2 linked regions of the Canis lupus familiaris genome follow. The protein of the gene in region 1 binds, or shares a complex with, the protein of each later gene. Links are inferred from orthologs where the notes say so. Each region holds a gene or a part of one and is shown in the gene's direction. Other genes may lie near its edges.

The links. Proteins that work in one complex are often made in the same cells at the same time.
Region 2: ODAD1 (region 1) and EFCAB1 share a complex: the UniProt entries of both Homo sapiens proteins name them as parts of the outer dynein arm-docking complex. The link is inferred for Canis lupus familiaris from reciprocal best matches to the Homo sapiens genes ODAD1 and CLXN.

Annotation. Positions count from the first base shown.
Region 1 is NC_049222.1:108,597,243-108,604,293, forward strand, and holds part of ODAD1 (coiled-coil domain-containing protein 114), read left to right. Parts: intron 1-2,012; coding exon 2,013-2,135; intron 2,136-2,493; coding exon 2,494-2,607; intron 2,608-6,227; coding exon 6,228-6,295; intron 6,296-7,051. UniProt on the Homo sapiens protein: Component of the outer dynein arm-docking complex (ODA-DC) that mediates outer dynein arms (ODA) binding onto the doublet microtubule. Involved in mediating assembly of both ODAs and their axonemal docking complex onto ciliary microtubules.
Region 2 is NC_049250.1:1,221,677-1,229,405, reverse strand, and holds the start of EFCAB1 (EF-hand calcium-binding domain-containing protein 1), read left to right. Parts: upstream 1-3,315; 5' UTR 3,316-3,384; coding exon 3,385-3,442; intron 3,443-3,601; exon of another isoform or gene 3,602-3,737; intron 3,738-3,811; exon of another isoform or gene 3,812-4,230; intron 4,231-7,004; coding exon 7,005-7,163; intron 7,164-7,729. UniProt on the Homo sapiens protein: Component of the outer dynein arm-docking complex (ODA-DC) that mediates outer dynein arms (ODA) binding onto the doublet microtubule. Seems to regulate the assembly of both ODAs and their axonemal docking complex onto ciliary microtubules.

The DNA of each region.
Region 1 (7,051 bases):
TAAGAGCTGTCCCAGGGTCCAGTCTTGTACTGCTAACAGTTCTACTTTAAATAAATCAGTGCTTTTGTCCTAGCAACCTAGAGGCCATTTTGGGGGAAAAAACACAAATAGAAAAAAACAACAACTGGATTTCATTTTCCAAAACCACAATTACTTACCTGGGGGATATTTGTGCCATTGGAGCTTGGAGTCAGATTGGACTCATCACTCTTAGTCATGCTGATTTCTGTGCAGTACTTGCTTTTCTTTCTTTCTTTTTCTTTTTCTTTCTTTCTTTCTTTCTTTCTTTCTTTCTTTCTTTCTTTCTTTCTTTCTTTCTTTCTTTCTTTCTTCTTCTTTCTTTCTTTCTTCCTTTTTAATTGAAATTTTTACTGGGATAATTGTAGATTCACATGCAATTGGAAGAAATAATCAAAGAAATTCCTTGTACTCTTTGGCCAGTTTCCTCCACTGGTAACATTTTTGGATATTTGGCTCTTTATCATAGCAACAGCTAAAAATGCAGTTTCACAAAGATGTGACTCATCAAAAGGAACACAGCGCTGTCTTGTGTTGAACCTGTGAACTGTCTTGAACGTGTAGCTCATGGGATGTCTGACCCATGTCCTGTGTGTCTCCCTCAAGACTTAAAATATCCCCATGGTGTTCCCTTTGAGTTCACTGTGATGCTCTGGGGTGCCTGGGTGCGTGTGTTGGTTTTCTAGGGGATGCTGTAACAAAGTACCACAAACTTTGGGTGGCTTAAATGAAGGAATTTATTATCCCACTGTTTTGGAGGCTAGGAGTCCAACATGGAAGCAACCGTTGGCAGGGAGGCATTTTCCCTATGTGTGTGTCTGTGTTCAAATTTTCCATTTGCATAAGGACACTGGTCTTATTGGATCAGGGCTCACCCTAATGACCTCATCTTAACTTGATTATCTCCGTAAAGACCCTGTCTCCAAATAAGGCCACATTCTGAAGTCGATTAATGCTTAAACATATAAATTTGCAGGAGGCAGGGGGCGGGGACACTATCCAACCCATAATGGCACACAAATTGAGAAATGCAGTCTTTTAAAAAATTTTTTAAATTTATTTTATTTTAAAATATTTTATTTATTTATTCATGAGAGACACACAGAGAGAGGCAGAAACATAGGCAGAGGGAGAAGCAGGCTCCCTACGGAGAGCCTGATACAGGACTTGATCCCAGGATCCTGGGATCATGACCTGAGCTAAAGGCAGAGCCAATTACAGAGCCACCTAGGCACCCCCTCTGCTTTTTCAAAGTTGGCTCCACACCCAGCGTAGAGCCCAACATGGGGCTCAAACTCAGGACCCTGAGATCAAGACTTGAGCTGAGATCAAGAGTTGGATGCTTAACAAAGTGAGCCACCCAGGCGCCCCTGGGAAACATAGTCTTAAGCAATTCATGTATTCATTTGATCTGCATGTTTTATTGAGAACTTACTCTGTGCTAGGCACACAAAGACAAAAATCTGCCCTTGTGGAGCTTCCAGTTTAATTGGAGAGTCAGCATTCCCCAAATAAGTAAAGATGAATACAGAAATGAAGACAGGTTGGAAGTGGTTTCATGCATAACCAGACCTATGGCTTCTAATGGTGTCAGAGCTCATTCTCACCGTCGCTCAGTCTCTTGTCTCCACTTTGTCTACTGACCTGCCCCTCCCAGGACCCTCCGTGTGATGCGGATTATGACAGCTCAAGTCCTAGAGTCCCATCTATCCAGCTCATGTGTTTCCCCCAAAATACTGGGAAGGGATTTAGACTGGCTCAGCTTGGGTCAACATGTCTATCTCTAGGACAATGACTGTGATTGTCGGGGCCTGGGTCACGTGCTGGCAGCGTGGCTTGTTGTGTTTGGAAGCCAGAACCCCGTGGAAGGCTAAGCGTTGTTAGCAGAAGAAGGGTAGAACAGATGGCTGCTACACTCAGCCACTCACCCTCTCTTGGTGCCTCAGTCTCTCACACACTCAGCCAACAAATAGGTATCATCCTCTTTCCTCCAGATCCAGGAGTGGGAGACCCGGATCTCTGTTCCTAGTAAGGATGTCAGGGCTTCCGGACTCATCCTGGATCAGAAGGTCAAGATTCAGCGAAGGATCAAAATCCTAGAAGACCAGTTGGACAGGGTGAGGGGTCAGCTTCTTGACTCTTTCCAGACCTGATCTCTGGGGGTTGGAGGGGAAACTGAGCATGGGGTCAAGTTCCAGAAATGATGGGCCAGAGTCCTGGAGGGAGGCAGGCCTGAAACACTGGGCTCCCAGAGAAGGATCAGGAGACACAACCCTGGAGGGATTGGAGGGTCAACCCAAGGAAAGGAGACTGATGCTTGGGTTCTTAGGGCAGTTGGACAATGCTCTAAGGATCCCCAGATTGGGAACAGGTTCCACATGTGACAAGTGCCCTCTCCTTGGCTGAGCATGGATGAGGGAGATAGGTCGAGTCTCAGACAGACTTTTGTACCTGTCCCCCCACCCCGCCCCCCAGGTCACCTGTCGCTTTGACATCCAGCTGGTACGGAATGCGGCCCTGCGGGAGGAGCTGGATCTCCTGCGCATCGAGAGGAGCCGCTATCTGAATGTGGATCGCAAGCTGCAGAAGGTCAGTGGCCCTGAACCCTGGGACCCCTTGGCCCAGCCCAGGTAGAGGAAGGAGGAGGCAAGAGTTACCCCACCACCAACAACACTCTGACCTCAAATATGGAATCGGCCAGAGTCATAGGTTTACTTTGGTCCAGAGGGAATGGAGGCCACGAAAATGTTCCAGGTTGCCTCTAACAAAGAAAGCAGCCTCGTTTAGACTTGCAGAAGCCAGAGATGTCACTTTGAATATCATCAGCCAGGGCAGTCAGTGGATGAGCAAGCAAGACAGTTGACATTCTGTGGGTATCTCCAGAACCTTTACTGTCTCTTGAGGACCCTTCCCTTTCTCCTCCACTTTCCCTGCCCTGAACGAATAGTACAAGGAACTCTGTCCTTCACCCAGACTGATAATCTGCCATATTTATATACACACACACTCTAATTAGTATTTTTTACTGAAAATAATTTATTATTATGATTGCTGAACTATTTGAGAGCGCACTGCAGACATTATGCCCCTAAGAACTTCAGGGTGTATGTCCTAAGAATAAGACCATTTTATTCTTATTCTTTTTTAAAAAAAGATTTTATTTATTTATTTGTTTGAGAGAGAGAGAGAGAGAGAGAGAGCGCGCACGCACAAGCAGGAGGAGGAGCAGAGGGAGAGGGAGAAGCAGATACCTTGCTAAGCAGGGAGCCTGATGTGGAACTCCATCCCAGGACCCCAGAATCATGACCTGAGCCGAAGGCACTCAACCACTGAGCCACCCAGACGCCCCAATGTTATTACAATTCTGAATAGTCCCTGTTTACGGTTCTCTGATGGTCCTTTATAACTAATTTGATTTTCCTGTTCCGGGCTCCAAGCCAGGGTTCCACACTGCTTTTGCTTGTCCAGGCTCCGTTTATCTGGAACCATCCCTTGGCCCTTCTTTGTCTTCATGACTTTGATATTTTGGAAGCCCGTCGTGTTGTACGAAGTCCCTCAATATGGTTTGTCTGATTGATCTTCGCGATGAGATTCGTGTTGCACATTTTGGGAGGAGTATCACAGAAGGGATGTTGTATGCTTGGTGCACATTATGTAGGAGGCACATGATGGTAGTTGGTCCCATAACTAGTGATGTTGACTTTGGTCCCTTGGTCAGCCATGTTTCTGTAGGGCAATTTTCCCTTTGTGATGAATAAGTGGAGAGTCTCGAAGACCATGTAAATATCTTGTTCCCCAACACCTTTTTACTCGGTTGTTTTGGTGTCCATTAATGATCTTGCCCAAATGATTGTCACTAGCTGCCAAATGGTGATTTTTTTTTCTACCTCTATCATTTCTCCTATACTTGTAAGGGAGCATTTTAAGGAAGAGCTTTTCATTCTCCCCTGTGCATGTGTGTGTTATCAGTAAGCATTTGGATTTTTATTTCACTCTGCGGTGGTCATCATTCATGATGATGTTCAACTTGTCCCAGATTTGGCTAGTGGGAGCACTTCAAGCTGCCTTCTGTGTGCTTTTGATGTGCCCCATGGTTGTTGGTTATTTTTTTTTTAAGATTTATTTATTTATTTGAGAGAGAGAAAGAGAGAGGGCACATGCACACATGAGCAGGGGGATGAGGCAGGGGAAGAGAATATCCACGCAGACTCTCACTGAGCATGGAGCTGGATGTAGGGCTCAGTCCCACGATCCATGAGAGCAGGACCTGAGCTGAATCCAAGAATCAGACACTTAACTAACTGAGCCACCCAGACACCCCTTGTGGGTTCTTTTTGAACATTTCCTTACTTTCTGGCACAGGAAGATAGTCCAAGTTCTTCTGCTCTTGTTCTGCCCCTACCTAGGAATTAGCCCTTTCTCCAAGGAGTCCTGGTTCCCTCTGATAGGAAGGAGGTTTTGAGAAATGAAGACACAGGTACTGCTAGCATCCTCTTTGCTACCAGGGCATCATTGCTTTGAGGCCCTCTCTCTGGAGACAATTAAGGAACACACACATATATTATGAAACCATGATTTCACATTGATTCCCCCTAATTCCAATCCAGCCTTACTGGGTAGGTTATTCCTGAACATTCCCCATTTTCATCTTTTCACTGCTCTTGTCTCCCACAGTAGGAAGACTGGCTCTCAATAGCATTGGTATACTTACTCATTTGCTCAGTCCTACAGTGTACACGAAAGAGGTCTATAGTTGTTACCACTGTACTTCCACCTCCTGAATTTAAGAAGCAGAATTCAAGATATGAAGTGTGTTTTGCCCTCTGAGGGTATGGAGATCTAGCTATCCATCCAAAATTATTGTATTCACAAGGCACTTGAATTAATTCCTTTTTTCTTTTTTTTGTCTGTGTGTGCTCTTGTCTTTTTGTTGCAAGTACAGTTAGGTTCATTTGCTTCTATTTTTTTTTTAATTTTTAAAAAATTTTTTAAAATTTATTTATGATAGTCACAGAGAGAAAGAGAGAGAGGCAGAGACACAGGCAGAGGGAGAAGCAGGCTCCATGCACCGGGAGCCCGATGTGGGACTCGATCCCGGGTCTCCAGGATCGCGCCCTGGGCCAAAGGCAGGCGCCAAACCGCTGCGCCACCCAGGGATCCCTGCTTCTATTTTTAAAAAGATTTTATTTTATTTTTTTTGCACGTGTGTGTGTGTGTGTGAGAGAGAGGGGGGGGGCACAAGTGGGGTGGAGCAGGGAAGAAGGAGAAGCAATTGGGGAACCCGACATGGGACTCAGTCCCAAGACCCTGGGATCATGACCTGAGCTGAAGGCAGGTGCTTAACTGACTGAGCCACCCAGGCGCCCCTGAATATTTAACCCTTTAAGAGGGGTTTCCAAATGAAAACTACTCCAGAAGGTATCTCAGAGAAACACTATTTCCTCTCCATCTCTTCTACTTCATTCTGTGTGTGTGTGCACATGCGTTTATATACATATGTATATGAATGACTACATGTGTATACATTATATATGTGTATATTTGTATATTGTATACATAATATATATATACACACATGCATGTGCACACACATACACACTATATATACTTTCCTCCCTTCTTTCTCCCAAAAGAACCCTTTTTACCCATCTACTGCAAAGACATTTCTTTGGAACTGGAAAACAGATCCGTGTGGTCACCATTATGAAATCCACAAAAATTTCTGCACCAGTCCACAAAGTTAGGTCGATGCTCTTAGGAATGTTCTTGGATGAGGGTTTTACTGGGAGAGGCCTTCTTTTTTTTTTTTTTTTTTTTAATTTTTATTTATTTATGATAGTCACAGAGAGAGAAAGAGAGAGAGGCAGAGACACAGGCAGAGGGAGAAACAGGCTCCATGCACTGGGAGCCCGATGTGGGATTCGATCCCGGGTCTTCAGGATCGCGCCCTGGGCCAAAGGCAGGCGCCAAACTGCTGCGCCACCCAGGGATCCCTGGGAGAGGCCTTCTGAGGCGGCATTCCAGCTCATCAGTTTGGGTTTCCTGTACCTGGTACCTATAAGATCCCTTTCTCTGGTGACTGCTCATTGGGAAGGTCCACATATTTGGAAGGAGCAGGAGTCCCCGTTCTTCAGGGGGCCACGGGGCCTTAAACGAATGCCCTACAGTGGGGAGGCTGTAGGAAGAACCTTGGTTTTGTTCTCTTGCAGGAAATCAAGCTTCTGCGACACATGGTCAGCTCCCTCATGGTCTCCTCTGCAGCTGCCTACACTGTCAGGTAGGGCGCCACCAAGGCCTTCCGGGGATGCACTGTGCTCACACCGTACCGTACATACCTTGCAGGAGGGTTCAGGACTCCAGAAATATACTGTTAAGACTTTTTTTTTTTTTTTTTAAACAAAGTACACCTCTCTGTCCTCCATGGATATTCCAGTTCCTTGGGCAAGGTCCCATTCATTGGTTATATGGATAACCTCTTTGGCTCCAGTCTATTCATGGAACTTAACACTCAGAGTGTGTGGAGAATGTATCAAGATGGTACATGTGGTGCCATCTTGGTGTCAGGAGCCAGGGGCTGGGGAAGCATCAGGCCCTGAGAGTAGATTGTTACTTATCAGTATTGGCTGAAAGAGACAGAGATCATCTCAGGCCACCTTCAGACGGAGTTATGTAGTGTGGAATCCAGAAGTACTTGCTGTTGTGCATGTATTGGCTTGTCTCTGCCTCGGGGGCTGGTAGGGACTCCCTGCTCTCTCTCACTCCAGCTCTGCTTCTTTCTGAGCTTCCGCCTGCCCTGGTCGATTGCTCCCAATGGTTTCCTGTGTCCTCCTATTCATCCTGTCTGGTATCTTCTTTCTATCTTGTGACTGCTGCTTACTTATGGCACATGACTCCTCATGACCTTTGTGATAGCCCAAATCTACCTTATGGTTACTGGGATTTCTTCCTTTTTTGTCGTTAAGACACACGTAGCAAAATTCACCGCATTGAATTGTACCGTTCAGTGGCATTTAGGACATTCGCTTCTGTGTCC
Region 2 (7,729 bases), on another chromosome or scaffold:
ACAAATATGTTAACACCAATAAATGTCAGTATATTTTGGGAATACAAAATTTTATTTTATTTTTTTATTTACTATGCCTTCACAGGGGTTCTCCACAATGGGGTTGTTGCAAGGGAACTGAGAACTCATCCTTGCTCAGGCAAATTCTCATGCTCCCCCTCCCTTAGCACAAATAATAGAACATGGACCGTGTTAACCAAACTTCAAAGATATAGACAGAGGGATGATAGATACAGAAATCCAGAAACAAAAATAGTCATGAATATAGGGAGAGAGAGAGAGAGAGAGATTATGTAATTTACAGTCTAGTGGGGAGAAGAGATCAGAGAAAGAAAGTAATCATGGTAGCAAGTGCTAGAAGGAATTGGGGTCCTGAGGCAGAGAATGACGGTTGGGTAGAGAAGGATTCACTTTACACAGGGAAGTAAAAAACTCTCCCAAGAGTTGCCTTTGGAGATGGGTCAGGAATGTAGAGTTCTGGGGCAGACAGCTGGGTGGCTGGAGGTACTGAAGGCAGGTTGTCACACAGGGTAGCAGCAAAGACAAGTGGCAAGAGAGAGTAGTAGAGATTCAACCCCCCAAACAGTTGGCTAAAATCACCTCCAAATTTCTCATCATTCTCTCTACACAATAAAATTGGTAAAATTGAATTTGTTATGTAGATAACTAACCTTTACACTAAAGGTTTGTAATTGACTTGAAAATCAATTCTATGATGTCATTTCCTAAACTGCTTCCAAACACCTTTATCATAAAAGGTCCTCATGAAGTAAAAGACTTTAATCAATTCAAGACTCAAGCTATTTATCATGGCAAAACTCCAATTAATTGTGAGTCAAAGGGAAGACAGTTTTGCATGAAAAATTAAAGGAAACATTTATAGCATTGATAGTCACTTTACTGTACTTTTATATTTATAAAAACATCCGTTACAAAGTGGAATTTTGGAAAGTTCTGTGATTGTATCATGCAGAGTAAAATTTGCATACAGTACAGATTAAATAGGGTTTTTTATTATCCTACTATTGATTGATTTGATATGAGGTAACTGTTCAGGCTTAATTACTTACTCTGAAAAAGCCCATGAGGGAGGAAGTGATCCTGTGTCTACTCAACACAAGCAACTGAAAACTACAAATAGGAATTTCAATTTGCTTTGAAATGAGATTAACTAACACTATCAGGCCTATAGCTTGTTTCTGAAGTCTAAAAATATTAAGTTCAAAACTTCACAAGAATGTAATGAACGCACTGAAGTTTTCCAGTATGATGAGTGACTTTGTCCACTCTCTTAGAGAAGTAAGTTTCACATAACAACGCATTTGGAAATTTTTCACTAAAAGAAGAAAGAACTTGAGGAAGGGGAGAAACGGGAAAAGAGTACCACAAAATGTTCTTAGCAGATTAAAGGATTTTTGCCTGGCAGAAAAGATTTGACGCTTTCAATCTCAGTCTTCTGTGGTATTTTCCTTACATCCTTTTTTCTACTTTAAGGGAAGATGGCTGCTGGGTCCCAAGCCTGAAGCTTGTGAAGAGCTGATTAGCCCAGCCATAGATGCTCACCAACAAGCTTTCAGGGTATGATGTCTGTGAAAACACCTGGACATGCCCATCCGTGTGCTTCCCACTGGTGGAGACCTGCTCTCTAAGACATGCCAGCACAGAATCTGATCAGAACACCTAATGCATGGTTTTTAACAGACCTGCCAGCACAAAGACAGGTGGGGCCCATGGCTTCTCTTATTTACTACTGACAGCCACTCTTCTGGGTCCTTGCCTTTTAAAATGAGTACTGTAGTAATCTCTATAAATGAAATATTTACTGTACAATACTGTCATTGAACAAAAGTCACTAGGGTTTCACAGGTGAGTGTAATTAGAATGTTTGGTCCTTTCCATTTTTTTTTTCTCTACAATCTGATTGGAAGTGTCACAGCTGCTAGACAAGAGGACCTATAGGAGTATTATGTAACCAGAGAATGGTTGCAAACTCAAAATCATTATCATTTCCTATTGGTTAACTGTTCTCAGAGAATTTGCTTTAGGATAACACAGTCCCTGCCTTCACGGAGCATCCTTGACTCAGGTTTCCAACAGCAGCCCAAACCTTCATTTGACAAACAAATGGCACAAGGAGACAAACTCAGAGACCTCGATACTGGAACTATTTCATTCTGGACTGTTACTCATGGAAGGCAGAATTTTTCTTTCAGTCTAACGATGACACTGCATATACTATGAAATAATTTGTCGTCTTATTTATTTGTGAGAGAGAAAGGCAGAAAACTAGTCGAGGGGATGGGCAGAGGGAGAAGAACAAGCAGACTCCCTGCTGAGCTGGACCCTTTGTAGTGCTTGATCCCAGGACCATGAGATCATGACCTGAGCGAAAGCCAAGAGTCAGCCCTTAACCGACTGAGCCACCCAGGCACCCCTGAAATAATTTGTTTTCAAAAGCATTTTCCCATCTGAAATAAAACAAGTAGACACACTGGAGAATACTGTAGGATTCGTGCTACCGGCTGAGCTATCCCATTTTAGTGCTGTCTTAATTCAAAGAGGGTCCCATCTGTGGTTAAGAAGAGCACAAAGTCCTCCCACATTAAAGGACACAGACTCATCTTTCAAATAAGTAAAGGTCCAGATTTACTAGGATATTTTTCAGAAAATGAAGGTTTTCGAAAAGCAACCCCACACAGAAGTGGCAGTTGTCAACATGGCTCTTGGGGACTTCGCCGTTTGACTGGCTTAGCATTGCCCATGGCCTTCCCCGGATTCCACCGACCGCCTCACTTCCACCTCTAAGAAGGAAGGAGGGAGGGGGAAGAACTATTCCAAGTCCCTTTGGCTCCCACACCACCACCAAAATCCTAAGGGCGTCTCGGTCCAGGCTACGTCCAGGCAGCAGAGCAGAAGCGGACACCCAGGAGTGGTTCGGCTTTAGGGCCAGCTCCTCAGCCCCACACCCCGCCAAGCCCTGCTGGGGGGTCACCGCCTGCGGACTCTCGACGCTCCTCCAGCTGCCCCGGCCCTCCCAGGCGGTTTCCAGGCTCGCTTGGTGCGACGCTCCATCCGCGTGTCCCCCCTGCTCCTAGGCCCTGCGTCACAGGGCGGCCCGTCACGGGGGCTGCGAACCCGGGGAGGCCCCTCGCGCGGGGCGGGGCGGCGAGCCAGGCAGCAGCCACCCGCGGCCGCACCGCCGTTGCCATGGCCACGCCGTGCGTGCGTGTGCGTGTGTCCGCGGCGTCCCGCGCCAGCCAATGGGCGGCCGGCGCAGCGTTGCCATGGTACCGCGCCCGCGTGCGTGGGGTCCCGACCGGCGAGGGTCCGCTCGGCCGCGCGCCCCTGGGCCCCCGCCGCCGCCGCCGCCCGCGCCCAGCCGGCATGAACCGCAAGAAGCTGCAGAAGCTGACGGACACCTTGACCAAAAATTGCAAGAACTGTAAGTAAGGAATCGAGTGCTGGACGAGCAGAGGCTCCTGGCTCGTAGGGCGGCGCAGCCCTGCTTGCCCGTGGCCCTAAGGACCGTACTGCAGGCGCCTGGCACCCGTATGCTCCCACAAGGCTCCGGGTCGCTTCTCAAACCCTCTCCTTATCTTACCTTCCCCTTGTAGACCTTTCCATTTCTATTTCCAAGCACCTTTTCCATTATAGAAACGTCATTGACGCACTGTCACAGCAGGTGTGGTTGTAGCCGCGGATAGTACTGAACCCCGCCGGCCCCAAGGAAACTGGCACCGCCAACGTGTCCCTGCCTTTTAGCTCTTTGTTGTGCCAATAAACCGGCAGGGTCCAAGTTTTGAAAACTTACCAGGAGGTGCATAAGGGAAAATTGGTTGTCAGTAGCTGAACATCCTCAGGAAAGATGAGTTGAAGTGGCACATCTCAGAGCAAGGGAATGTGTCTCGAGACCAAAGAGTTCCACAAAGCCAAAACGCAGTCAAGAATCCGCTCAGTTGCCGGTGGGGTTGTGAGGTAAAGGAGACTTCGTAGGTGACAAAATGAGCACATATTAAAGATATCTGCTCCAATCACACATTCCAAGACGTAGTCCTAGAATTTCATAGGTGACTTTACAATTGTACCCAGACTGAAAAACAGAACTGTACTTGCTCAAGGAAACCCAGATACGGTTTAAAATGAGAAAGATACTGTCTGACAAGCAAGCTTATAAATTGTGTTGCTGATTACAAACTAATGGCCACTTGAGAAATTAGGAGAAGCCATAATTCCAGGACTACCTCCACTGTGCAAAGGAGGAACAGGTGTAACGTAGTTCTAGAGCTTATAGGATCTGGTGCCTTCTAGGCGTATTTAGTATCGAATGTAATGAGTGGTGGGACGCGCCCCCTTGGTGAAGTGGCACTGTAAATAAAATTATGGTGTGTATAAATGCCTCAAACTTCTTAGAAGAAAGTCATCCTATATATTAAGGTATTATTATGGTTATTATAATGTGGTCTTGTTCTGTTGTTGTTTTTCTCCAAATCCATTTCAAGGAAAAGATCAAATCTTAAACATCTAGAGAACATTTTGAATAAGCAGTGCAATAACTGATATACACAGTTTGATTTAGTACCGGTTCAGTAAGTACACCATGAATTGCAAACAGTCATTCTGTGAGCAATCAAAAGGTGAATGTATTAAAAGATAAGTGAAAACCTGGCAGTAAAAAATAGTCAAGTCTTTGATTTTTGTCCTTACGTAAAATTCTTAAAGTGGGCCTTAAAAACCTTGATGATTACCAGTTAAATTCTATAGAAATAGTTACAAGTCATGGGCATTATAATTAAAAATTTTTTTTAATTAAAATTTTTTTAATGGAGAACTTTTCCCCTAAAGTCAAATTTCCTTTTAGTTGCCAGTTGTAATCCCACTAGGATGAAATGGATAAATTCTGTAGAATCAGAGAAAAAAAATACCTTAAGTGATTGCCCACCATTCTACAGAAATGATCTGCAGAACACACTTAGACCAATCCAAAAAGATGAAAATCCATTCTTGAATTTCTCTTAATTTCATTTAGTATTTTATTCTGGAATTTAAAAAACATTTCAGCAAGTAAAACTTTCTTGTGGCTAATCTTGGATCCTTTGGGTAATAAATGAAGATAATATTCTTTAATTTTCATTTTAGCCAAGATGGAAATATGGCTAATAAACAACCTCTCTGCTAAAATTTCATATACATGAGCATCATTTTAAATACAGGCTTTTCTTCTCCAATTACTAGCAAGCTCTTTTATTTTTGGAGGTGTGTGTGTGTGTGTGTGTGTGGTTAAATATATATATATATATATATATATATATATATATATATATATAACAAAAATTTACCATTTTAAGTGTACAGCTCTGTGGCATTAAATACATTCACATTGTTGTGCAGCCATTACCAACATCCATCTCCAGAACTATTTCATCTTTCCCAGCTGAAATTATGCCCATTAAACTATAACTCTTCACTTCTCCTGTCCCCAGTCCCTGGCAACCACCATTCTACTTTCGGTATCTGTGAATTGTACCATGCTTGATACATTATATAAGTGATATCATACAATATTTGTCCTTTTATATCTGACTTATTTCACTTAGCAGAATGTTTCAGGCCTCATCTGTCTTGTAACATGCGTCAAAATCCCCTTCCTTTTCAAGGCTGAATTGCATGCATATACTACATTTTACTTATCCACTCATCTCCTGATGGACACTTAGCTTACTTTCAGCTTTAAGGCTATTGTGAATAATATTGCTATGAACATTGATATACAACTGAGTCCCTACTTTCAATCCTTTTAAGTATATACCCAGAAGTGGAATCACTGGGTTACACAGTACTTCTATGTGTAATTTTTTTTAAGAACTGACATGTCATTTTCTACATCAACTAACAGCTCTTTTTAAAATCATAACCATTATATTGTTTTCTACTATTTAACCACTTTTTTTTACTAAATCATTTATTTCCCCAAATTTTTCAATATTCCTTCTAAATTGTGGTATCCCAAACCAGAAATCACACTCAAGCCTGTCTTGACTTGTAGATCGAGGTATGATTTCTCCATTCCTATCTGCTGTCATCCTTTATATACACACAGATTTCATCATTGTGCTTTAAAGTACTTTTGAAATAAAACATTTCTCATCGTCCACCTATACTTCATATTTAAACTCACTTTTATGGCAGGCAATAACACTTCCACCTATGTACCTCAAATGGGAATTGGAGCACAAATAATTAACTCAGCGGTTTTTTTGTTTTGTTTTGTTTTTGTTTTTGTTTTTTTTTAACTCAGCGTTTATAAACACTCTGTGCATTTATGTGTATGGGCCAGAATATATGTCCGTATATTTATTTTCAATAAAAATTCCCTTCCTCCAAAATACTAAATACCTACATGTTAATATTCACATCAGGTGCAATAAGAACCATAATGGGTGCTGGAATATGGTTAAATGCTTCTTTATTGGAAAATAGGTTTCTGATGTCCAAAATCTGGCTTACTGATTTAACTAAGGCTGATGTGAAGTTAAAATTGTTGCCTAGTGTTCAGGAGTCTGGTATCTATCTCCAGGCAAAAGCGTAGTTGTAAATATCATAAACGCCTATAAGCAAAGTTACCATTCTTAAGCGTTACCTTGCTTACTTTGGATTGCACCTCTACTGCCTTTAAAGTTTAGCATCTGACCTCATAATCGTTATTCAGGTAACTTGGCTATTATTCTTTTCTTCCTAAATGTGACTGAATTTAATATTCAACTCCTCTTTGGAGGAAATGCTCTAGAGAAAGAGAATATTTTAGAAGAGAAACCTCTGTAGTGGCCATCCTTTATTAATTTAGTTAATTTTATTAATTTAAGGGTCACGAATCTTAAAACAGGATAGTCTTCTGTTGAAAACTAATATTTGATGTCCTTGATGTTGTCTATAAACTCAATAATGCAAAATTTAAGTTAGAAATAAAGGTTTAAAATGCATTTTTGTTATATCTTATTTCTTCACAGTTAATAAATTTGAAGTGAAATGTCTTATAGATCTTTTTTATAATTTGATGGGAGAAGTAACAGAGCGGCAAGGTATCACCATTGGACTAGATCGCAATGCATTTCGAAACATCCTGCACATGACATTTGGAATGACAGACGATATGATTATGGACAGAGGTAAGAAGACATACAATATTCAAATAGGCCAGATCCAGCCATAACTGGGAAAAAAAATCTTGGAGTTTAGACATATTCTTGATAGGAAGCTTAATGTTCTTAATTCCCAATTTCACTTGAATATAAAAAATCAATTTGTATGTTAGGGAAGCGTCATAGTGAAGGTGACTCTACCCACTCTATTCTGTGTATTCAGGAAGAGGACAAAGTCCAGCTTGAATAATTAGATTTTCCTTACTTTATACCCAAAAACCTAAAATATTTCTATTTCTACTTCGTAAATATAATAATGAAAACAATGGTTTTAAAAGGACATATAGATTTCCTTATGTCATCAAAAATATTTCAGTAAATTTAAGTTATAACTTTATCATGTAATAGCATTAATTTTCTTGAGTAAGAAAAATATAAAATTACATATTTTATGTCAACATATCAACACATTTATTTTTTTTCTTTTTTTTTTTTAATTTTTATTTATTTATGATAGTTACAGAGAGAGAGAGGGAGAGGCAGAGACACAGGCAGAGGGAGAAGCAGGCTCCATGCACCAGGAGCCCGATGTG